Linked DNA regions of Arabidopsis thaliana. The protein of the gene in region 3 purifies or fractionates together with the protein of the main gene of each other region. This does not show direct contact. Each region holds a gene or a part of one and is shown on either strand. Other genes may lie near its edges. The genes, in order: MPPalpha, MPPBETA, PPR40 and AT1G51980.

Region 1 (5,829 bases), 170 kb from region 3:
TTTCTTAGAAACTGTAAACGCACAAGAGCCATGAACAGACACTACTCAAGCACTTTCATGATGATGAAACTAATCTAATCTGAGGACTATAATACTTCCACTAGGACATTACTTTAAACAATGGTATCATATTCTCATAGATTCATTATCATATAAAGAAATTCAATAATTCAAATAAAACTAGTAAAAATCAATATAACGATTTTGTGAAAGAAAGAAAAAAGGAGTACATTAAAGGGAAGGAAGAAACACCTTTGAGTGTGAGAAATGGAGATGAAGATGGAATATGAATGAGTTAATCTTGGGATTTTGTATATATACTATATAGTATATATAAAACATTTTTGAATACGAACATTAAATTCTCTTTTCATCCAATACTAACCACTTTTTTTTTCTGCCAATACTAACCACTTTTTCTTTTCTTTTTGAGAGACTTTATATTCAACCAACTCGTGCTTCACGAGGGATGGAAGCTTTGATTAGTTAGGACTTAGGAACTTGTATTAATCTAAATATCTTTTTTTTTTTAAAATTGAATCTACCTTACAACATAAAATTTGTAAAGAGAATTCCAAAATTCCAAAAAAAATCACCTAAAATTTTAAAATCGTGAAAGCAGCATCGTAAAGATGTTCTCTTCTGTTTTTTTTTTTTTTTTTTAACTCTCTTTTGAATATTGGATTAGAGATTTTCACAGTGTCGTAGATTCTTCGTAGAGTCTGTTATGAGTTGACATTTACCATAGGAATTGCATTATCGTGAGAAGGTTAAATGATAAATTGACATTTATAAATTCTCAAAATGTAGGTTATGAGTTGTCAAAGAAATGTAGGCTATGAAAAAAAAAACTTACGTCTAAAAAAATGCAAAGTTAAGAAAGAAATACTCAAAGTTCGTGGCATTTGACCATCTCTCAGCTACACCTCAAATTATAGCTCATGAGAATGGCCCATGAATATGATTGTGGCTCCGTTAATCACGTGGTATTAAAACTCACACACGACCATTTCTCATCTGCCTCCAATTATAGCGAAACCGTTACAACTCGTTGTTCACGTGAGCATCAAAATGTGCATTACTCCTTTCAAGTTCGGCAAATCCTAATTATCCATTTTAATGGACTGCAGAGACTTTAATTAGAGCTTATAGAACTTTAAACATTTTGGTTTAAATCTTAAAATAGAAATTTAACCAATCTCAAATGATTTTTTTTTCTTTTCTTTTGGCATAAGTTTCATAACTCGATGATGAATGCTACGATAATATAGACATACAGTATGATGATTAGATGAAAACAGATAAAGAAGAAAAAGTGTATCGTACGCCCCACTCGGTGATAATGATTAATGAGACTATATATGAGAGTACCCAAATATGATTTTTTCCACTCATGAATCGTATTGCACTATTTCTGCATTATTAAGATAGACCCACATTTAACATTAGACCAAAAAAAAAAAAAGATAGACCCACACCACCTGTTATAGTATTTAGTATTTTTACACATCCACTAAACGACGACAATTGACAAAATCACACAAACCTTTCTCCTTTATTCATTTTTGTTTAATTCGGGTCCCTTGCTTTTTAGCATTCGGCTCTCATTCTTATCTTCCCATGGATGGATAGTCATAGTTATATAATACAGTTCAATTGAAGTTATGCAGTATATATATGCACCACACACGAGTCTTCTATATATGTGGATACTACGTTTCAAAATAATTCTATTAACTTAGAGAAGATAAACTTTCTTAGTACTTTTTTCGTTTCACTTTACACACACCTCAAAAAAATTCTTGTTTCATTTGTGACTGCATGTAAATGTCGTTACCTTACTTGAATTTTTACACAATGGTACGTGAAAAAGAAAAGAAAAAAAATATAATTGAGAGAAAATATAATAGGATCACACCACTACAATACATGGGCTTTAAATTCATCTTTTCTATATGTTATAATTTGGGCCAAGACTATTATATCATATGGGCCTATCAATGTAATTAGAAGCAATTGCCCGATCCAATAACCTTAATTAGGAAAAAAAATCGTTCCCTTCTCTCGTTTCTTTTCAGCTCTGACTCGGCCTCTATCTCTCTCCCGTCGTCAGCCACATTCACCGGTACTCATCTGACCAAGCTAGGGTTTCGCAGTCATCATCATGTACCGTACGGCAGCTTCTCGAGCCAAGGCCCTTAAGGTCAATGTCCTACTTCACTTGTTTCCATTGAGATTCTGGTTTTTTTAGGAGAATGCTTAGTATTGAACAATTTGTATGATTCATTGTTTTTGGATTTGGATTAAAGGGTCTCTTAGATTCTTATAGATCTTGATTCAATTTTATCGCTTTATAGTAGCTGGTGCCATTATTCATGCTTTTTGCAGGTTTATGAAATGTCTCTGTTTCGAAAGTTCTTATTTTTACAATGTTAATTGAATCAAGAGATTAATGATGCTTAGGATGTGTGTGTGTGTGTGTGTGTTTATAGGGCATTCTAAACCACAATTTTCGAGCTTCTCGTTATGCAAGTTCTAGTGCTGTTGCAACGAGCTCTTCTTCCTCCAGCTGGCTAAGTGGAGGCTACTCTAGTTCACTTCCTTCTATGAACATTCCCTTGGCTGGTGTCTCTCTTCCACCACCACTCTCTGACCATGTTGAGCCTAGCAAACTTAAGACCACTACTCTTCCAAATGGTCTGACTATAGCCACTGAGATGTCTCCGGTGAGAGCTTCTTTTAGTAATCCCAACATCAACTTCCTGTTAAAAACTACTGGAAAGTGATTTTGAGTGAAATTTTGTTCAGAATCCAGCAGCTTCCATTGGTTTATACGTTGACTGTGGTTCTATTTATGAGACTCCTCAATTCCGTGGAGCGACGCACTTGCTTGAAAGGATGGCATTCAAGAGTACATTGAACAGAAGCCATTTTCGCCTTGTAAGGGAAATAGAGGCTATTGGAGGTAATACTTCAGCTTCTGCATCCCGAGAGCAGATGGGTTACACAATTGATGCTCTCAAAACCTATGTTCCCGAAATGGTTGAAGTGCTTATTGATAGTGTGAGGAACCCTGCTTTTTTGGATTGGGAAGTGAATGAAGAGGTACTTCATGTCATGTTGCATGTATCTCACAAACATTAAAGCTAAGCAATTTTTTTACACTGTTTTCATCATTTTTCTCCTGGCAGCTCCGAAAGGTGAAAGTAGAGATAGGAGAATTCGCAACGAATCCAATGGGTTTTCTTTTGGAGGCAGTTCATTCTGCTGGTTACTCTGGCGCATTGGCAAATCCATTGTATGCACCTGAATCTGCAATTACTGGATTGACTGGGGAGGTCTTGGAGAATTTTGTTTTTGTAAGACCGTTAACACAAGAGATTATTGCATTCGCTGGAACTAGTATCACTGGCTTTTGGTTTGTTATTTCGTAGATGTGTCTTTTTTCTCATTTTGTTCTGAAATTTCAGGAGAATTACACTGCTTCACGAATGGTCCTAGCAGCTAGTGGAGTTGATCATGAAGAACTTCTAAAAGTGGTTGAGCCATTACTATCTGACCTCCCTAATGTACCCCGACCTGCGGAGCCAAAGTCTCAATATGTCGGTGGAGATTTCCGTCAACATACGGGTGGAGAGGTACAAATATGACGTTTCAATGGGCTTCTTTGAGTAAAAGAAGGTTTATTATTCCTAATATCTTTCTTTTTTTGTTTCACCATTCTCAGGCTACACATTTTGCGCTTGCTTTTGAAGTGCCAGGATGGAATAACGAGAAGGAAGCTATCATTGCAACTGTTCTTCAGGTGCCTGACTCAAATACATTACTTGATCTTTCAAACGCAAAGACTTAATTGTGTAAAATCCAATTCTTATCAGATGCTTATGGGAGGAGGTGGCTCATTTTCTGCGGGAGGCCCTGGAAAAGGAATGCACTCTTGGCTCTGTAAGTCTCTGAATGTGTTCTCTTTCTACTTGCGGTTTTTCAACACTCATGTTTTAATGTAAGTTAGTTATTTGTTGGTCATGATGATGATGAGATTGGTTTCTTTATTGTCTGGATGCAGATCTTCGCCTTTTGAACCAACATCAGCAGTTTCAATCATGCACTGCATTCACTAGCGTCTTTAACAATACCGGATTGTTTGGAATCTATGGTTGCACGGTGAGTTTGCACCGATTTCTAGTTGTTGCTTATTAACGGTTTTTAGCACTTTGCAATGTGGGTTTGCTTACATTCTTTTGGCGTTGCAGAGTCCTGAATTTGCTTCACAGGGAATTGAATTAGTAGCTAGTGAAATGAACGCTGTTGCTGATGGAAAAGGTTTTCTATATATTTCATCCATTCTTTTTTAGAACCATTTATCAACTCATACAGACATATTATTTACTCTGGTGTACATGCTTTGGCAGTTAATCAGAAACATCTTGATCGCGCCAAAGCAGCAACAAAATCTGCGATTCTGATGAATCTGGAATCTCGGGTAGGTCACTTAAAAGTTCCACCTCTTTTTCTTAAGCCATGAGGGTGACTTTATAATGGAATTTAACTGTTTGTGTGATTTGCAGATGATTGCAGCAGAAGACATTGGTAGACAGATTCTTACTTACGGAGAGAGGTACATACACTTTGTAACATTCCACTTCTAAACTGATTATAACCAGACTTTTCTCTAACTGTTTTTTTTTTTGTTTTCCCAACATATCTGCAGGAAACCAGTAGACCAATTCTTGAAGACAGTAGACCAACTTACCTTAAAGGACATTGCAGATTTCACTAGCAAGGTTATCACAAAGCCTTTGACAATGGCAACTTTCGGAGACGGTAATGACAAAACCATCATCACAGTTTTACATCTTTTATAAAACGGCATTGCAAACTTAAATCCATTTTACTTATTCTAAAATCTTGTGTTGATTTTGGGACAGTGTTGAATGTTCCAAGCTATGACTCCGTAAGCAAAAGATTTCGCTGAAGAGTGAAGAAGTAAAAAAGATCTTTTTACATCATAAGATAGAGTTGGGACCTGTAGAATAAAGATAGCCTTTTTTTTGGAGATCCAACCAAATTTTTTGTTTCATCTATCTCTCAAGTTTCTGACCTAAGATAAGTCCATGAAAATGGTGACAAATTACGCCCATGTCTCCAATTTCGTTGTTGCGTATTTCTTCTCTTCGGTTAGTGAATAATGATTGATACGTTTACCAACTTTTTTCAGCTTCAATTTTTAAATTTCTTTCTTGTTAAAGAATGCTGGCAAACATAGGCATTAAAGATAGATAGAAGTCTACTACTACATAAAATATTTTCCAAATTATTAATTTTATGAACTCTTAAATGCTTTAATATTTTGTTAATAAAAGGATTATTGAATAAATGGATCTAAATAATAGAAACGACTCCATCAGACAAATAATTGCCTTAAAAGTATCTTAAACTCTCAACCAGATATAAGATAGATCCACAATAAATTACTACTAGAATTAGATCAATTTACCATAGTTATTTCGAAATGTGAAAGCATAATTTACATACACACTCCTAAAGTCTAAAATGAAGGTGTTATTTTTTTTTTGACAGCCTATGATGAAGGTGTTTAATCACAGAAAACCTTAATTAAAAAGGCTATTAGGGAATCTTTTTGGCGGATTACGAGGTAAATTAGAGCTTATCAAAAGCAGTTGATGTGTATTTTAATTATTTCTACTTTCAGAAGAACGAATATGATGACGTAAACACGTATCGGCATGAACCAATCATATTCCCTGGTGGTTTTTAAAAATGATTAGATATAGAAACATTACAAAAAGATTTTGAAAAATCACGATA
Region 2 (5,565 bases), 5.4 Mb from region 3:
CAGTTAGAAGAGCTAGCAATTGGTCTAGAGCTTACCAAGAGGTAATGATTTGGACATAACCGGGTTTGTGTGTTCCGGTTTACCCTACTTACTCTATGCGTGTCTATTATGTAATAAGTTATGTTGATCCATTCACCAGGCCAGTTTTGTGGGTCACTGGTGATCAACAACCAATCAAACTTGGGTCGGATCGAGTCAAAGTGGTGAGATGGGCTCCACAACGGGAGGTCCTTTCTTCTGGAGCCATTGGGTGTTTTGTGAGCCATTGTGGATGGAATTCAACTCTGGAAGGAGCCCAAAATGGCATACCATTTCTATGCATCCCTTATTTTGCAGACCAATTTATCAACAAAGCATATATATGCGATGTGTGGAAGATTGGATTAGGACTTGAAAGAGACGCACGAGGAGTGGTTCCGAGGTTAGAGGTTAAGAAGAAGATCGATGAGATCATGAGAGACGGTGGAGAGTATGAAGAACGAGCTATGAAGGTTAAAGAGATTGTGATGAAAAGTGTTGCAAAAGATGGAATATCTTGTGAGAATCTTAATAAATTTGTCAACTGGATCAAATCACAAGTGAATTGATAGAGTTTCACAAGAAGAAATGAAATGTATCCAATTCAAGTTTTCAACCAAACATCAAAGAACTTATTAGTATGTGTATGGGAAAATTATGAAGAGAACAAAAAAAACACACACAGAGGATCTCTAGCATTTTTCCAGTAGAGGACAAAGAGTAAATGGTACACTTATTTTACCAGCGATGATGGTAAATTATGAAGATACAGTAAGAAAAACTCAAAAATAATGAATCCATCATCACCTCGTTCTGCTCTCTCCGCCTACGGAATCTCCCCGTGGGCGAACCTTGCGATTCAGTGACCTTTATTTCAGAGCCTTAGTACCGGTTCCAGTAGGTTCTGCGTCTGAATTTGTTGTAGTCTGGCAAATCTTGGATTGGACCAATAGCTGAGATTGCAATGTCCTGCACATAATCCCAAAAATCACCTTAATCACTCTTGACGTTTGTACTCTTGTTTAGCAGTCTAATCCTTGGAGGATAGAGAGAGCAAGAGGGAGAGAGAAATAGAACTTACTTTGTCATAGATATATTTGTTGGCAACACGTTTTACCGTGCTGGCATCAACAGCATCGATCCTAGCAAAGAGTTCAGCGGTTGGGATTCTACGCCCATAGGTCAGCAGCTGCATTTAGAACAAAAATCCAGGCGTTTTATTAGAATGATTTTGAAGATAAACACCAACTATAAGGAAAGTCAAGGTTTGTTATCTTTGACCAATGCATTTATAAACTTATAAGTTCTAAATTAAGATGCTTAAATGATTCATCGCATACCTGACGACCAATATCTTCAGCAATTGGGCTGGTTCCATCCATGTGAAGTAACAATGATGATTTCAGCTGCAGAGAAATTTAAAATCAGTTGGCATTTAAAATCTATCTACAAATAAGTAAGGAGTTCGAAGAAACAGGAGGAAAAGAAAAAAAAAACTTTAAACAGATCACATTTGTAACTAGCTTAAAGCTGAATCTTGGGAAAGAGAGAAAGAACAGTTGGGCGTTTACCTGATTTCGTGCACGTGTCACATCAGCGTCTGAAACTCGGTAGGCCAGCTTGGTTACCTCATACATAATGGCATATGATAAATCATCCAAGCAATCGGCCTGAAAAAAGTACCTTACAAGATGTTAAAAGAGATATAATACGAGGCATTCATGAGATGAAACTGCTAATATTGACAAATACAAGAAAGAGATGAAACTAAGATAGCTATGGAGTTCTGGGTTGACCTTGGCAACTGCATAAACGCCGAACAGTCCAGTATCCTTGTAGTTAGTGTTGAATGCCATTATGCTTTCTGCTATTTCATTAATGGCAACCCTCTGGGTCAGGTCAGAACTGCACATAGAACCATAATGTTCATCAACACATTGCGAAATAGCTTTTCATTAAATCCATCATTAGAAATATTAGCCAGAGAGTAAACTCACCCCACGTGTTTTCCACCACCAACATTTTTGTTCCACGAACCCAACATAGTTTGCATAACCATAAGAGCAACGGAATCTGGATCAGTCCAAGATGCTCCCTCAAAGGCAACAGCAAATTGTGCAAGGGGTAGGTCGTCATCAATCATTCGGACCTGAGAAGAATTTCACGGACTAAAGAATTTAGAAAGATGGAACATTGCATATAACAAAATCATATGGTTGTGTCCTTACCTCAGAACCAGTAAAACTAGCAGGTTCATTGGCAACCAGTTGAGAAGTAGTTGTTGGATCAGACGACAACTTGGTAAATAGCTTCTTCACTTGCTCAACAACTTCCTCATGCTTAACAGCTCCTGCAGCAGCAATCACCTGAAAATGTTTTGGATGAACCAAGATAAGAATCCTAAAAAATTCAATAAGTGATTGTAGGAAATGATAAGAAGTAACCAAAATCTATACCATCCTGGAAGCAGTGTAGTGAGTCTTAATGTAGTTCTGTAGATCCTCTCTGGTGATCGATTTGACGTTCTGAGCAGGTCCCAAAATAGTTCTTCCAAGGGGTGTGTATTGGAATGCAGTGGCATGTAAATGGTCAAGAACCACTTCATCGGTTTGTCCCTCCACCTACGACCAAACCAATTATCAAAAAACTAAAGCTTAATGTGTATTCTATCTTTAACTGATTAAAGAAACAAATAACTCTAACCAACACGTAGAGCAGAGTACCAAGCGCTCTAGTATCTCCCTTCATGCACATTTCCCAACAACAATACGACCAACATATGACTAAGCCAATAAAACCAAAACATGCGAGAGATAATCCAAAAACAGAACAAAGTTTTCATTTTTAGAGCAATGGTTTATATAAACACAATAACATCTCTCTATAGAACATGTGCTTATGCCAATACAACCTTAAAAAAAGGGAAGATAACTTAAGAACATACTAAAGTTTTCATTTTTAGGCAGGCACACGGGAAACTGAAACTAAGGGTATTGATCTAAAAAAACACAAACTACGGTCCATAGTACCACCTCACTAAAAAAAAACGAAAGATAAATCGAGGACAGAACAAAAAGTTTAGTTTTTTAAGTACAGAGATAACAAATACATACCTCTTGCATTTCCCTGAGGATGACATCTCGTTCGCGGTTAATTCTCTGTTCCTCGAACTTAGAATTCTGTAGGATATCAGCCAAGACATCCAAAGCCTGGTTCACATTGGAATCCAAAACCTTAGCATAATAAGTGGTCTGTTCCCTCGATGTATACGCGTTCAGGTGACCACCAATATCTTCGATCTCTTCCTCCAACGCTCTCACTGTACGCCTATCCGTGCCTTTGAATATCATATGCTCCAAAAAATGAGCCGTTCCGTTGGTCTCATCGGACTCAAACCGAGATCCAGCGTCGATCCAGACTCCAACGGTGGCGGTCTTAGCCGAGAGATTTGACTCAGTAGCGACTCGTAGACCATTGGGCAAGGTAGTGACACGAGTCTCCGGAGCTGACAAGATGTGATTGTGGGAAGCGAGGATCGGATGTGGAGATGCGTATTTAAGGAACCTCTTATCAGGATTCTCGAGCTTCTTGATCTTATTTTTTATAATCTCAGCCGCGTGGTCGTATGGCATAAGATGCGGCGGCGGTGGAGATAGAGCCGTCGGAGATGCGGAAGCCGGCACCGAATCGATAGCTGAAAACGAAGAGGAAGATCGTGTGGCTTGAGTGAGGAATAAACGCCTCTGAGATCGGCGAGCTAGGGACAGTAGATTCTTCATCGCCATGGCTGATGATGGCTTCTCTTCGCTCTCTCAATCTCTCTAGGGTTTGATTAAAAAGCCAAAAATGGCAGAGACGACTTGAGATGCGAACTAATAGCCAGTGGTTAAGCGATTATAAAACGACGTCATTTAATGTTACTAATTAAGAACGGTGTCGTTTAGGACATAATACTAGTCAACTGATATAATAAGGCCGTAGTAGGCGCATTATCGTATCAAAGAACATTATTCATACTGGTTAGATAGTAAGGCCGTATGAAGAATTAGGCCCATTAGTGTGGGCTGAGAACGGGTTGGATTTTTTGACCCGGATATGGGGAGAAAACCCTAATCGAAATATCGTGGCCGTATATATAAGTTTTGTTATTGGAGAATAAAAACCCTAGTCTTTGCGGAGAGAGATTCAGCTGCGTTGGGCAAAATCCCAGACGAAGATCAGTGATTAGTCTTTTGATAACTTGAGCCATGGCAACTGGTAAAACTGTGAAAGACGTCTCGCCTCATGACTTCGTCAAGGCTTATGCTTCTCATCTCAAGCGATCTGGCAAGGTTAGTGGATAAAGTCTCTTCTTTTTTGTTTGAGTAGAAATGTTCCAAGCTTTATTTGTATGTACTCGAATAAAGATGGATTAAGCTCAAATTGCAATGATTTCCATTAGTTCATAGATATTTCTGTTGATTGTTGGCATTTCTCTATAATACTTTGAATTGTGTAATGTCTGTTGAATGTATTGAAATTTTGTATATGTTGCTAATATTTATTGAATCACAAGTGTTACTCTTAGTATTTGTTAATAGACAGCTTAAGATTCAAATGCTTGGGATTAATATTGTGATTTGCTTTGTTACGTCTGTTGAATTAATTTACACTAGCAATTACAATAGCTTGAATGTCAAGCTCCACTTTTTACAATTGTTTTGGTTTTCACGAGACCATAATTGTTTGTTTCAGATCGAGCTTCCCACATGGACAGACATTGTGAAGACCGGAAAGTTGAAGGAGCTTGCACCATATGATCCTGATTGGTACTACATCAGAGCTGGTTAGTTCTCTTTCATCCTAGTTTGTCTCTTATTATCTCTATGCGTTTATAAAGTTTTCAATTAGCAAAATGACTTCTTGTGCAGCATCTATGGCAAGGAAGGTTTACCTGAGGGGAGGACTTGGTGTTGGTGCTTTCCGTAGAATCTATGGTGGAAGCAAGAGGAACGGTAGTCGCCCACCTCACTTTTGCAAAAGCAGTGGTGGTATTGCCCGTCACATCCTCCAACAGCTGGAGACAATGAACATTGTTGAGCTCGACACCAAAGGGTAACATTACTACTACTACTACTACTACTACTACTACGTTAGAGGTGTTTCTCTTTAAAAATGTTTTTATGCTAATACTAGTATCACTTTTGTTCTTCTTTCAGAGGAAGAAGGATCACTTCCAGTGGCCAAAGGGATTTGGACCAGGTTGCTGGCCGTATTGCAGTTGAACCTTGAAGATCTTAATGTTCTTTTTTGTTCTTCTTCTACTTTTGAGGCCATTGTGCTTTTAGTGTTTATCTTTACTTTTAAGAATTGTTACCATTTCATTCTCAAGACTTGCGCTCATAATGTTCAAAAATTTATCTTTTTGGCGATGGCTTTGGACATTGAAACTTATGTCTTCAACCGTATTTTTGTGTTCGTCCGATTTAAGGATAATAGGATATGGTTTCTTCATCCCTAAATTGCTAATTTCATCCTTCTTTAGTGCCACTAATCTCACTTTTATGC
Region 3 (4,932 bases):
ACAAAAATCAAGAGGTAATAACAAGTAACTATAATGAAAACCTTCATTTTCATGGTGACAATGGGAGAGTCATTAGGATCAACCAAGATTCTTTTGTTGTGGAGACCAAAGAGAGGCGTTTTGACTTTGAACACTTTGTTCCCGGTTGCGTCCTTCACTGTATCTCCGGTTATCGTTAGATCTAACGGCTGTGGACGAACAAACTCAGATCCTACGAGTGGTAGCATCGTGTTGCTGCTAGTGGGATCTTGTTTTGCCATTGTTGTTTGTTTCAAAGAAGATGATTAAAAAAAAAACAAGACATTTATCAACTTTCAACTTATTGATCTTTTTGGTCATCATGACTTTTTCCTAATTTATTATGAAACTAAAAAATATTTATTAACAAAAACAATAATGACTTTACAGATAATATTTAATTTTCCTTTCAATTTGTTTTGTCAATATCAATTTTGAAATCAGTTAAAATTTATAATATACCTAATTATAAAAAAAAAATTTCCAATATTGAATTATGAAATTAAAATCTCGCATTTAACTTGAGATATTGATTGAACATAATGACAACATATCCAACAAATTACCTTTGACCATATTCACAAGTGTCACACACTTTTTTCAATTTTTAAGTTCTCATTTAGGATTATTAATTGTAAATAATTATATATTCATAAATGTAAATGATTTTTTTTGCCAAAAATAAAAAACTTTGAGAAACAAAAATGGATCATCAATTAATTGTAATAAAACAAACTGAAGACCAAAAGTTATATATAAATAGTCAATCCTTAAGATCCTAAACAATAAAAACATTTGAATACCTCAAAAGAGTTCATAGAAAAATTTATTATGGGTAGTACGAAAACTTTGGTGACATGTTTCCTTGTAATAATACTTGCAGTTTCGTTGCCTAACAACAACGTTTTGGCTTCAGGTATTTTCAAAGTTTGGTTTAGCTATTTTGCAATTTAGTAGTGATCATTTCAAAGGCTATATATCTAAATATTTGGAATTCGTTATGATCACGTTTTTGTTTATATATATATTATACATGAATTCAAAAGTTTCGTTAAAAACTTTTATTTGGACATGTTATATAACTATTTTTTATTGGAATGATATAAAATTTACACATGTTGGTATTGATGATGTTTGATATATATGTGGACTTGTGTAGATGCAAGGATCGAAGGCTTCTCTTTTGACAACTGCAATATTAGGTGTTCCGAAGATTACTGGAATGATGAATGTAATAAGGACTGTCTTAGAGCTGGCTTTCAAAAAGGTGGACAGTGTGGTTCTCCTTGTATTCCATGTCCAGTGAAATGTTGTTGTCAAAAGTAATACAAACTTATAAATCCATTTTCTCTCAAAATTGATGATTCTAGCGTTGCCTTTATTTTCTCTAAGTTATTGGACTTGATTTGTATCTTATTCTTATAAATAAATGCAATGATATAAGAAAACTATATATATTGCAATAGTAATTTTTATAACATATTATTAATCATACATAAATAGCATAATAATGACTTCATCACAACTCTTTTTATTACATCTCTCATTAGCAATAACTTAATATTATCATAATATATTTTTGAAGATGAAGATGGAAATATTTAGTCAATGCTACAATTTAAGATAGAAATTAGAAAATTATCACTTAGAAATATAATTATTACAAGAAAATTAAAATTCATAGTAATCAAGAGATGGATAAACTATAATGAAAACCCTCATTTTCATGGTGGCAATGGAAGAGTCATTAGGATCAACCAAAATTCTTTTGTTTTTGTTTGTTTCAAAGGAGATGATCTTTTTGGTCATGACTTTTTCTTAATTTATTCTGAAACTAAAAAAAAAATTATTAAATTCGAACACATATTGATATTGGTGTATTAAACAGCGTCGTTTAGGAAACATCGTCTTGAGGTTAGAGACCAAATCAATGTTTCACTTGCACTCAGCTCCGTTCTGGTCACGACATGAGAGGCTTTGCTTCTTCAGCATCTAGAATAGCGACGGCGGCAGCAGCTTCCAAATCACTAAACGCTTCCACATCCGTAAACCCTAAGCTCTCAAAAACCCTAAACTCTTCAGGTAAACCCACCAATCCTCTGAACCAGCGTTACATTTCGCAAGTCATAGAGAGAAAAGATTGGTTTTTGATACTGAATCAAGAATTCACCACTCATCGAATTGGTCTCAACACTCGATTCGTCATCAGCGTTTTGCAGAATCAAGACAACCCATTACACTCCCTGCGATTTTACCTCTGGGTCTCCAACTTCGACCCGGTTTACGCTAAGGATCAGTCTCTGAAGAGTGTTCTAGGGAACGCACTTTTTCGTAAAGGCCCCTTATTGTTGTCTATGGAATTGCTTAAAGAGATTAGAGATTCAGGGTATCGGATTAGTGATGAATTGATGTGTGTTTTGATCGGAAGCTGGGGAAGATTAGGTTTAGCTAAGTACTGTAATGATGTTTTTGCTCAGATATCTTTTCTTGGAATGAAACCAAGTACAAGGCTTTATAATGCTGTGATTGATGCGTTGGTGAAGTCTAATTCACTTGATTTGGCTTACCTCAAGTTTCAGCAGATGCGTAGTGATGGCTGTAAACCGGATCGGTTTACCTATAATATACTTATACATGGTGTTTGCAAGAAGGGTGTGGTTGATGAAGCTATTCGATTGGTTAAACAGATGGAACAGGAAGGGAATAGACCCAATGTGTTCACATACACGATTTTGATCGACGGGTTTTTGATAGCAGGGAGGGTTGATGAGGCGTTGAAGCAATTGGAGATGATGCGGGTGAGAAAGTTGAATCCTAATGAAGCTACAATCAGAACTTTCGTACACGGGATTTTCCGTTGCTTGCCGCCGTGTAAAGCGTTTGAGGTTTTGGTTGGGTTTATGGAGAAAGACTCAAACTTGCAAAGAGTTGGTTACGATGCTGTGTTGTATTGTCTTTCAAACAACTCAATGGCTAAAGAGACTGGTCAATTCTTGAGGAAGATAGGTGAGAGAGGTTATATTCCGGATAGCTCAACATTCAATGCTGCGATGAGTTGTCTCCTAAAAGGGCATGATCTTGTTGAGACTTGTAGGATATTTGACGGTTTTGTCAGCCGTGGAGTTAAGCCAGGATTCAATGGTTATCTTGTGTTAGTTCAAGCTCTGTTGAATGCTCAGAGGTTCTCTGAAGGTGACCGGTATCTGAAACAAATGGGTGTTGACGGGCTTCTATCAAGTGTATATAGTTATAATGCGGTAATTGACTGTCTCTGCAAGGCTCGACGCATAGAGAATGCAGCTATGTTCTTAACAGAGATGCAGGATAGAGGTATTTCTCCGAATCTCGTAACTTTCAATACCTTTCTGAGCGGTTATAGCGTGAGGGGTGATGTAAAGAAGGTTCACGGCGTGCTAGAGAAGCTTCTTGTACATGGTTTCAAACCAGACGTGATCACTTTCAGTTTGATCATAAACTGTCTTTGCAGAGCAAAAGAAATTAAAGATGCATTTGACTGTTTCAAGGAGATGTTGGAATGGGGTATTGAGCCAAACGAGATCACATACAATATCTTGATTCGCTCCTGTTGTTCCACCGGAGATACCGATAGATCAGTGAAGCTGTTTGCGAAGATGAAGGAAAACGGGTTAAGTCCAGACCTTTATGCGTACAATGCGACTATTCAGAGTTTTTGCAAGATGAGAAAGGTTAAGAAGGCTGAGGAATTGCTTAAAACAATGCTGAGAATTGGTTTGAAACCAGATAACTTTACATATAGCACTCTCATCAAAGCTCTAAGTGAATCTGGAAGAGAGAGTGAAGCAAGAGAGATGTTCAGTTCAATCGAAAGACATGGATGTGTTCCAGATTCATATACTAAGCGTCTTGTTGAAGAACTTGACCTAAGAAAAAGTGGACTCTCGAGAGAAACCGTGTCAGCCTCATAGAAATTGAATCCTCGAGAGTGTGAATATCCTATGAAGGCTTAGAAACCGGAAAAGTGGGTTCGTTTCATTTGGAAATGTCTGAGAAAGAACCCGATCTTTGCCACGGGTTGCCTCTTTGATGCAGACGGAAGAGAAACAGAACATGAGTGCAAAATGCAGAACAGAGTATTAAGTTTTGTTCTTTTGATTGATCAAAGCTTTTATATATTTCTGAGTCCGAGAAAGTGGCGGCAATAGTAATGGCAGTTGGTTGGTACTTGACAGTCAAAAGGCAAAAGATTTTGTATGTTTAGCACTAGATAGCCTTGGCCCTAATTTATACCCTTACCGTGTAACAGTTTAGGAAACAACAGTTTTGCCAGATTATATTGGACATGAGTATTGAATGATTTTGTTGTTTCGATCTCAAACTAGTATGCTTAACAATCTTTTTTTCAACGTAAGAGATGAGAAACGAACTAAGAATAGACCAATATTGTTCAGGAATCAGGAAGCTGAGAAAAGAAGACAAAGCAAGAGTAGTAGTAATTAAACAATGCAAGAACCAAATATTTGGGTATTGTAAATGGACTAGTTGCTTTTGCCTTTTGCCAGTTGCTTGATTTCCACTGAACTTGGTACATAAGAGCACCTAACAGGAAAACTTTCAGAATCTCCGAGATCCACTTTTCTGAAGTATCCATTCTCTCCAATGATGTAAGCTGTGATACGGTTTCTCATCTCTTTGTCCTTATCAAAAACCACAACTACTTTCTTCTCCTCGTCAATGAAGAAAATTCCATCATCAATAATGAGTGGTTTCATGTCCACTGTTAAGAACAACTTTCCCCACGACACATTGTTGGGCTCAATCTTGTTAGTAATCCATATCTCCATCCTTGATATATTGCAGCGGTGAAGTAACACTGCAAGTTTCTCTTCTCTAACACTAGAGAGAGCCACAATATCTCCACAACGAGAGTGGAAC
Region 4 (6,168 bases), on a different chromosome or scaffold from region 3:
ACGGGTCATAATTTGAAATATTTATATTCAATTTCATACATATTATATTGAAAATTTATAATCTTATATACTACAATAATTAAAAACATATTAGATTTTCTTATATGTATGATGTGATTCAATTTTTAATACAAGCTGGAAAATCTTAGAATTGACGGGTTTAGATCGATATTAATACAAGATGGTATACTACAGGTGAAACTCTTAAATTAGCAATCAAACTACAAGTGTATAATCTTAAACACTAAACAATATACATAATATTAACAAAACATATACAACTCACAGTTTAATATACATTTAAAATCAAATAAAATAATATCATATATTTTTAAATCATCTTTACAATAAAAGTTTTTAGTTTAACTAAAATATAAGTCTACCTGCGGTATACAGCAGGTTAATATCTAGATTATAGGGCTTATTGGATCTAAAGATGGGTCATCAAATATTTCCTAAACTGAAGCAAAATATATTGAATATTCAAATATCTATCTGTTACCAAATTATAAACAAATAAGTTCGTAAAATAATTTAATATTTTATATACGAAATTAATTAAATCTTAATCACATAAAAATTAGCAAAACAAAAAGTATTCAACAATTAAAAAATTATCAAATCTCTGTGTTATATAAGTTTTGATACTATATTCGAATAAAATGTAATATACTTTTTCAATTTGTATTCTTTAACAAATTTAAGCTAACTAATATATTTGCTTTTTTGGTGGATTTGGGTAAAAGTGCATTCAGGTCATATGATACATTTTCCTATTGAATAAATATGGTGCACTCCTATGTTATTAGTTAAAATGTTTAGATTATAATTCAGAGTCATATCATTAATAAAATTAATATTAATAAAATAAATTGCTTTTTGGAAGACGGATTTGAAGGGACGGGTTTTTGAATCAACATTAATAAAAAAGTAAAATATAACTAATCCACCGTTTCAATACGGGTTAAATCTTTAATTTATTATTTTTTAAAACTACTAATATTAAACATATCAAATCATCCTAATTTAGAAAAGATTATATAAAACCAAAAATGTTATGTGGTATGTATAATATTACTATATATAAAATTAAACTATAAAATATAAATGTATTAGAGAATGATACAATTTGCAAAGCTTTTATATATAAAAAATAATTCTTAAATTTTAAAAATTACTACTTTAAAAAAAAAATCATGGGACGGGTAAGAAATTACATAACGGATTTTATTTTAGAATTGGGTTATATGGTGGATGTATTTGAATCAATATTTATAAAATATTAAAATATTATTAATATGATGTTTTAATAGGGGTTAAAACTTCAGTTTTTTAACAATTGTCTCATGGATTCGTGGTATAACGTTACCTAATAACAATTTTAAACTGTAAAATATTAATATTTTATAAAATTAAAATTTGCAAGTTTTAATATATTACTTTAAAAAAAAATCGTCTCGCGGTATACCGCGGTTTAAAATCTAGTAACAAAATATTTGAAGTACACACTAAACCAACTCAGTAATCTAATTAAGTAAATACAGAATGGACATATTTTTTGATAATTTTCAATTATTATTAAAATTCTTCAGTAAACAGATTTTTAATGAAAAAGATGATTAGATGATGTTTTGACGGTTGAAATTGGCTATAGGTTATATAGTTTAGATTTGTTCAGATTGATAAATAGTCTAAAAACCACTTTGAATAAATATTAGGATTGGGCCAAGCCCATAACACAATATTGGGTCAGATTTTAGTACATATTATGGGCCTATGTTAGCAAGATATCACCGAGTACGTAGCAACTTAGATTCTAAAGTCTAAACTAAACAAAATCGTAAATAAACTGAGAAAAAGCCTCCGTCTCCTCCTCTCTCTCTATTCATCAGCCTCAACCTCTCTTTCGTCGTCGACTCAGTTTCCGATTTAGGGTTACCCAATCTTCGCCATGTATCGCACGGCAGCTTCACGAGCCAGGGCTCTTAAGGTACATCCTTATTCCTTTTTACAATTTTACCCTTTTATCCTGTTCCTGGAAGATTCTGGAACGATTTGGTCCGATTCAGTGAATTAACAGATCTGGATTCAAATTCTTTCGTTTGTAGTTACTTCTATAGGTTACAATGATCTCTTCTCTGATTGGTTAAAGTCAATCCATTGGTTTAGATTATAACTCATCTGATTTTCGATTTAAGAGAAATGATTTCGATTATGATTCTTCTTATTGTCCTTTGATTGATACCATAGAAAAGATTGGTTTCTTATTATGTGATGTATTGTGATTGTGTGTTATATAGGGAGTTCTTACTCGTAGTTTGAGACCAGCGCGTTATGCTAGTTCTAGTGCTGTTGCGGAGACGAGTTCGTCAACGCCGGCTTACTTGAGCTGGTTGAGTGGTGGGTCTCGTGCTGCGCTTACTTCATTGGATATGCCTCTACAAGGTGTTTCTCTTCCTCCGCCGCTTGCTGATAAAGTCGAGCCGAGCAAACTTCAGATCACTACTCTTCCAAATGGTCTTAAGATAGCCTCAGAGACGACTCCGGTAAATAAAAGAACGAATTTTAATGTCTGATTTCACTCCTGAAAATGTGAACTGAAGAAAGTTAATGTTGTGTGCAGAATCCGGCAGCTTCGATTGGTTTATATGTTGATTGCGGTTCTATTTATGAGGCGCCTTATTTCCATGGAGCTACACATTTGCTTGAAAGAATGGCTTTCAAGAGCACGTTGAACAGAACTCATTTTCGTCTTGTGAGGGAAATTGAGGCTATTGGAGGCAACACATCCGCTTCTGCGTCTCGAGAGCAAATGAGTTACACTATTGATGCTCTTAAGACCTATGTCCCTGAAATGGTTGAAGTTCTTATTGACAGTGTTAGAAACCCTGCTTTCTTGGACTGGGAAGTGAATGAAGAGGTAGATCATTTTTTTTTTCCTTTTGTATTATTCTGATAACTGTGTTGAAACTTTTATGTGACTTTTAGCCATGTGTCGATGATCTTTTCCGCAGCTACGGAAGATGAAGGTAGAGATAGCGGAACTTGCAAAGAACCCTATGGGTTTCCTCTTGGAGGCCATTCATTCTGCTGGTTACTCTGGTCCATTGGCAAGTCCTCTGTACGCACCGGAGTCTGCTTTAGATAGATTGAATGGGGAGCTCTTGGAAGAGTTTATGACTGTAAGAATGCATGAGCTTTTGTGAACCATCTACGTCTCAGCGATTTCAAAATTACAATCCTATTTATTTGTCTTTTTGACTCAATTTATCTGGGAATTTCAGGAGAATTTCACTGCTGCACGGATGGTATTGGCGGCAAGTGGAGTAGAACATGAGGAACTTTTAAAAGTTGCTGAGCCATTAACTTCTGACCTTCCTAATGTACCACCCCAATTGGCTCCAAAATCTCAGTATGTCGGTGGAGATTTTCGCCAACATACTGGTGGAGAGGTAGGTATTCATGACAGATTTCCCATCACTGGACAAGTGTGTCTGAGATGAAGGTGTTTCTATGTCACATTTCTTATTGAGCTTTTGTTGTTCCATTTTCAGGCTACACACTTTGCGGTTGCTTTCGAGGTGCCTGGCTGGAATAACGAGAAAGAAGCAGTCACCGCCACTGTTCTCCAGGTGTCTAATTGAATTTTACTTTTTGGTTGCTTTAACTTTCACTTGTTTCGATCAAATTTTTTTTACTGGCGAAAAAGTAATAAAATGTAATCTAATTGCTATTAGATGCTTATGGGAGGAGGTGGCTCATTCTCTGCGGGAGGTCCTGGAAAAGGAATGCACTCGTGGCTTTGTAAGTCAAATCTTGTATTTCTTTTTGGCCTATTCTAGTTTTGTTTATTGAACTAGTTCACGGACCATACTCTCGCACTGCTAAGCTATCAGTAATAGTGATACAAGTTCTTATGTCTGGTTACAGATCGCCGTGTTCTAAACGAATATCAGGAGGTTCAGTCATGCACTGCATTCACTAGCATCTTTAACGACACCGGGTTGTTTGGAATCTATGGTTGCTCGGTAAGTTCAACAATCCTGATGTCGCTTTCTATGTTTTTCCTTTCATTACTTATCCACATTTTTCTATTGATGAGATGTGTAACAACGGAATACCAATTTTTGTGGTTAAGCTTAAGAAATATTGACTTTGAGGTTAAAGTGATGTCCAAGTTTTTTTAGCTGAAAAATTCATTGCCGGATATGTGTTTCGGTAATATGTGTTAGCTGATAGGGGATTTGTGTCTTTGAGTGCAGAGTCCTCAATTCGCTGCAAAAGCAATTGAATTAGCAGCTAAAGAACTCAAAGATGTTGCAGGAGGAAAAGGTTTGCAGTTTTGTTTCTTCCATTATCACTTAATCTAACAAGTTGAAACCATTCTCATACATCTATGAAACATTTTCCTTGTGTTCTTATGTTGGACAGTTAACCAGGCACATCTTGATCGTGCCAAGGCAGCCACAAAATCTGCAGTTCTGATGAATTTGGAATCTCGGGTATATTTTTAACTCTCGCACCCTCTACTTACATAAAAATACTTAAATGTTGCCAATTTGTTTAACTTGATCCAAACCATTATATGTTATGAATGTGTTCAAACGGTTTTCCTGTGCCAGATGATTGCAGCAGAAGACATTGGTAGACAGATACTTACATACGGAGAGAGGTATGTATACGCAGAACTTCATTTGAAAACCCGAAGAAGTTCACTAGATCTCCATAGTTTTCTTCAATTCCAGACACATCATAATTTGTGGTTTTTACAAAATCTTGCAGGAAACCAGTTGATCAATTCTTGAAGTCAGTAGACCAACTAACCTTGAAAGACATTGCAGACTTCACCAGCAAGGTTATTTCAAAGCCTTTGACAATGGGTTCCTTTGGAGATGGTAAACAACTTTCACTTTTTTCTTATCAATCTTTTACAAACCAAGATCTAGTGTCTTAATATTGTTTATCGTGTTTTTGTTTTTGGCAGTGTTGGCTGTTCCGAGCTATGACACAATAAGCAGCAAATTTCGTTGAAGCAAAACAAACAATTTGCCAAATCAACAATATTTTGGGACTTGTAAAATAAAGAAGATCTTGGGGAGAAGAAGACCCAACCAATTTTAATTTTAATTTTTTTTTTTACAATTACAGTTTCGTATTTTTATGAAATGGATTTTGTTTCCATCGACAGATATAAATGACTGGATTTTGTCCGGTTTGTCTCTCCAATTTTCAGGAGTATTTGTATTCCAATAAATAATCTTTTACTACGTGTAATGCAAACAACTTCAGTGGTACAATTAGAACTGTGTCAGTTTTTATGCAAGTGTTCTCAATTTTGCATATATGTTACCGGAGAATGTTGAGTAGACGTAAGGAACGGGGTTACTTTGCGGAGATAGTGAAATCAGATAGCTGCTTGGAGAAAGTGAAGTCTCGGCTTCTTAATGCAGTGCGGTTTTAGCGATAAAGCAGAATGAATTAAACTTGGATTTGGAGAATGGAAAGAGTTTCCAGGGAGGAGAAGGTAAGAAAAGACTAAGCGTGTCTTGCGGGGATTGATCAGGAGGAGGCAAAGGAAGGCAAAATGGGACGAGGAGGAACAGTAAGAAGCGAGAGTTCCGGGATTCCAAGTTTGTTCATGGTGGTAGGAGAGGGATGAGCAAGCATAGCACTGTAAAGAGTTCGATCATCTACAACTTCAACACTTTACAGTTATAAACTTTCGTTTATGTTTTTAGAAAGTGTTATTTTTTTGGGATAATTGTAAACTTCGAACGATGGATAATTTAAAAATGAATAGAAATTGTAATGTAAAAAAACACACGAAATCAGTGCTTTTTGTCTTAATTAAAAAGACCAGCTTGCAAAGTCACGCAACGTCGAAGCTCTAACTTTCTCTTCTAAAAGTGGCTTACTTTGGTCGCAAAGACACAAATTTTAAGGAAGAAAAAAAAACAAAACAAAAGCCAGATAATTTACTTGGGAGAAATAGGTTCGATAATTCGATTTTTTCGATGAATTAGAGTAACCTTGGGAGCAAAATGCGACCACGCTTCGTCATCTTCTACACAATTCCAAGAGAAACGAGTAGAAATCGTCAGTTTGGGATATTTTGTGGTTTTATGATTTATAGGAACGGGTTGAATCCTTAAACTGTTGAATCCTTGA

The links.
Region 1: the proteins of PPR40 (region 3) and MPPalpha fractionate together in Arabidopsis thaliana (co-fractionation; one study listed by BioGRID). This does not show direct contact.
Region 2: the proteins of PPR40 (region 3) and MPPBETA fractionate together in Arabidopsis thaliana (co-fractionation; one study listed by BioGRID). This does not show direct contact.
Region 4: the proteins of PPR40 (region 3) and AT1G51980 fractionate together in Arabidopsis thaliana (co-fractionation; one study listed by BioGRID). This does not show direct contact.

The regions. Positions count from the first base shown.
Region 1 is NC_003074.8:5,597,742-5,603,570, forward strand, and holds MPPalpha (mitochondrial processing peptidase alpha subunit), read left to right. Parts: upstream 1-1,968; 5' UTR 1,969-2,164; coding exon 2,165-2,203; intron 2,204-2,492; coding exon 2,493-2,726; intron 2,727-2,808; coding exon 2,809-3,105; intron 3,106-3,191; coding exon 3,192-3,359; intron 3,360-3,470; coding exon 3,471-3,638; intron 3,639-3,727; coding exon 3,728-3,805; intron 3,806-3,878; coding exon 3,879-3,945; intron 3,946-4,066; coding exon 4,067-4,164; intron 4,165-4,253; coding exon 4,254-4,323; intron 4,324-4,412; coding exon 4,413-4,483; intron 4,484-4,568; coding exon 4,569-4,618; intron 4,619-4,711; coding exon 4,712-4,824; intron 4,825-4,928; coding exon 4,929-4,975; 3' UTR 4,976-5,286; downstream 5,287-5,829.
Region 2 is NC_003074.8:363,862-369,426, reverse strand, and holds MPPBETA (Insulinase (Peptidase family M16) protein), read right to left. Parts: upstream 3,879-5,565; 5' UTR 3,804-3,878; coding exon 3,132-3,803; intron 2,640-3,131; coding exon 2,475-2,639; intron 2,385-2,474; coding exon 2,247-2,384; intron 2,168-2,246; coding exon 2,016-2,167; intron 1,924-2,015; coding exon 1,815-1,923; intron 1,689-1,814; coding exon 1,590-1,688; intron 1,425-1,589; coding exon 1,359-1,424; intron 1,208-1,358; coding exon 1,096-1,207; intron 988-1,095; coding exon 893-987; 3' UTR 588-892; downstream 1-587. Other genes in the region: AT3G02100 (UDP-Glycosyltransferase superfamily protein), read left to right, coding at 1-41, 140-587; AT3G02080 (Ribosomal protein S19e family protein), read left to right, coding at 4,266-4,349, 4,753-4,843, 4,929-5,112, 5,217-5,289. UniProt on the Arabidopsis thaliana protein: Catalytic subunit of the essential mitochondrial processing protease (MPP), which cleaves the mitochondrial sequence off newly imported precursors proteins. Preferentially, cleaves after an arginine at position P2.
Region 3 is NC_003074.8:5,767,434-5,772,365, reverse strand, and holds PPR40 (pentatricopeptide (PPR) domain protein 40), read left to right. Parts: upstream 1-1,929; 5' UTR 1,930-1,985; coding exon 1,986-3,965; 3' UTR 3,966-4,389; downstream 4,390-4,932. Other genes in the region: AT3G16900 (LURP-one-like protein (DUF567)), read right to left, coding at 42-260; AT3G16895 (Cysteine-rich protein), read left to right, coding at 850-934, 1,178-1,344; AT3G16880 (F-box and associated interaction domains-containing protein), read right to left, coding at 4,536-4,932. UniProt on the Arabidopsis thaliana protein: Required for the ubiquinol-cytochrome c oxidoreductase activity of mitochondrial complex III.
Region 4 is NC_003070.9:19,322,555-19,328,722, reverse strand, and holds AT1G51980 (Insulinase (Peptidase family M16) protein), read left to right. Parts: upstream 1-1,804; 5' UTR 1,805-1,951; coding exon 1,952-1,990; intron 1,991-2,300; coding exon 2,301-2,546; intron 2,547-2,623; coding exon 2,624-2,920; intron 2,921-3,014; coding exon 3,015-3,182; intron 3,183-3,284; coding exon 3,285-3,452; intron 3,453-3,554; coding exon 3,555-3,632; intron 3,633-3,737; coding exon 3,738-3,804; intron 3,805-3,930; coding exon 3,931-4,028; intron 4,029-4,262; coding exon 4,263-4,332; intron 4,333-4,431; coding exon 4,432-4,502; intron 4,503-4,622; coding exon 4,623-4,672; intron 4,673-4,782; coding exon 4,783-4,895; intron 4,896-4,984; coding exon 4,985-5,031; 3' UTR 5,032-5,668; downstream 5,669-6,168. UniProt on the Arabidopsis thaliana protein: Substrate recognition and binding subunit of the essential mitochondrial processing protease (MPP), which cleaves the mitochondrial sequence off newly imported precursors proteins.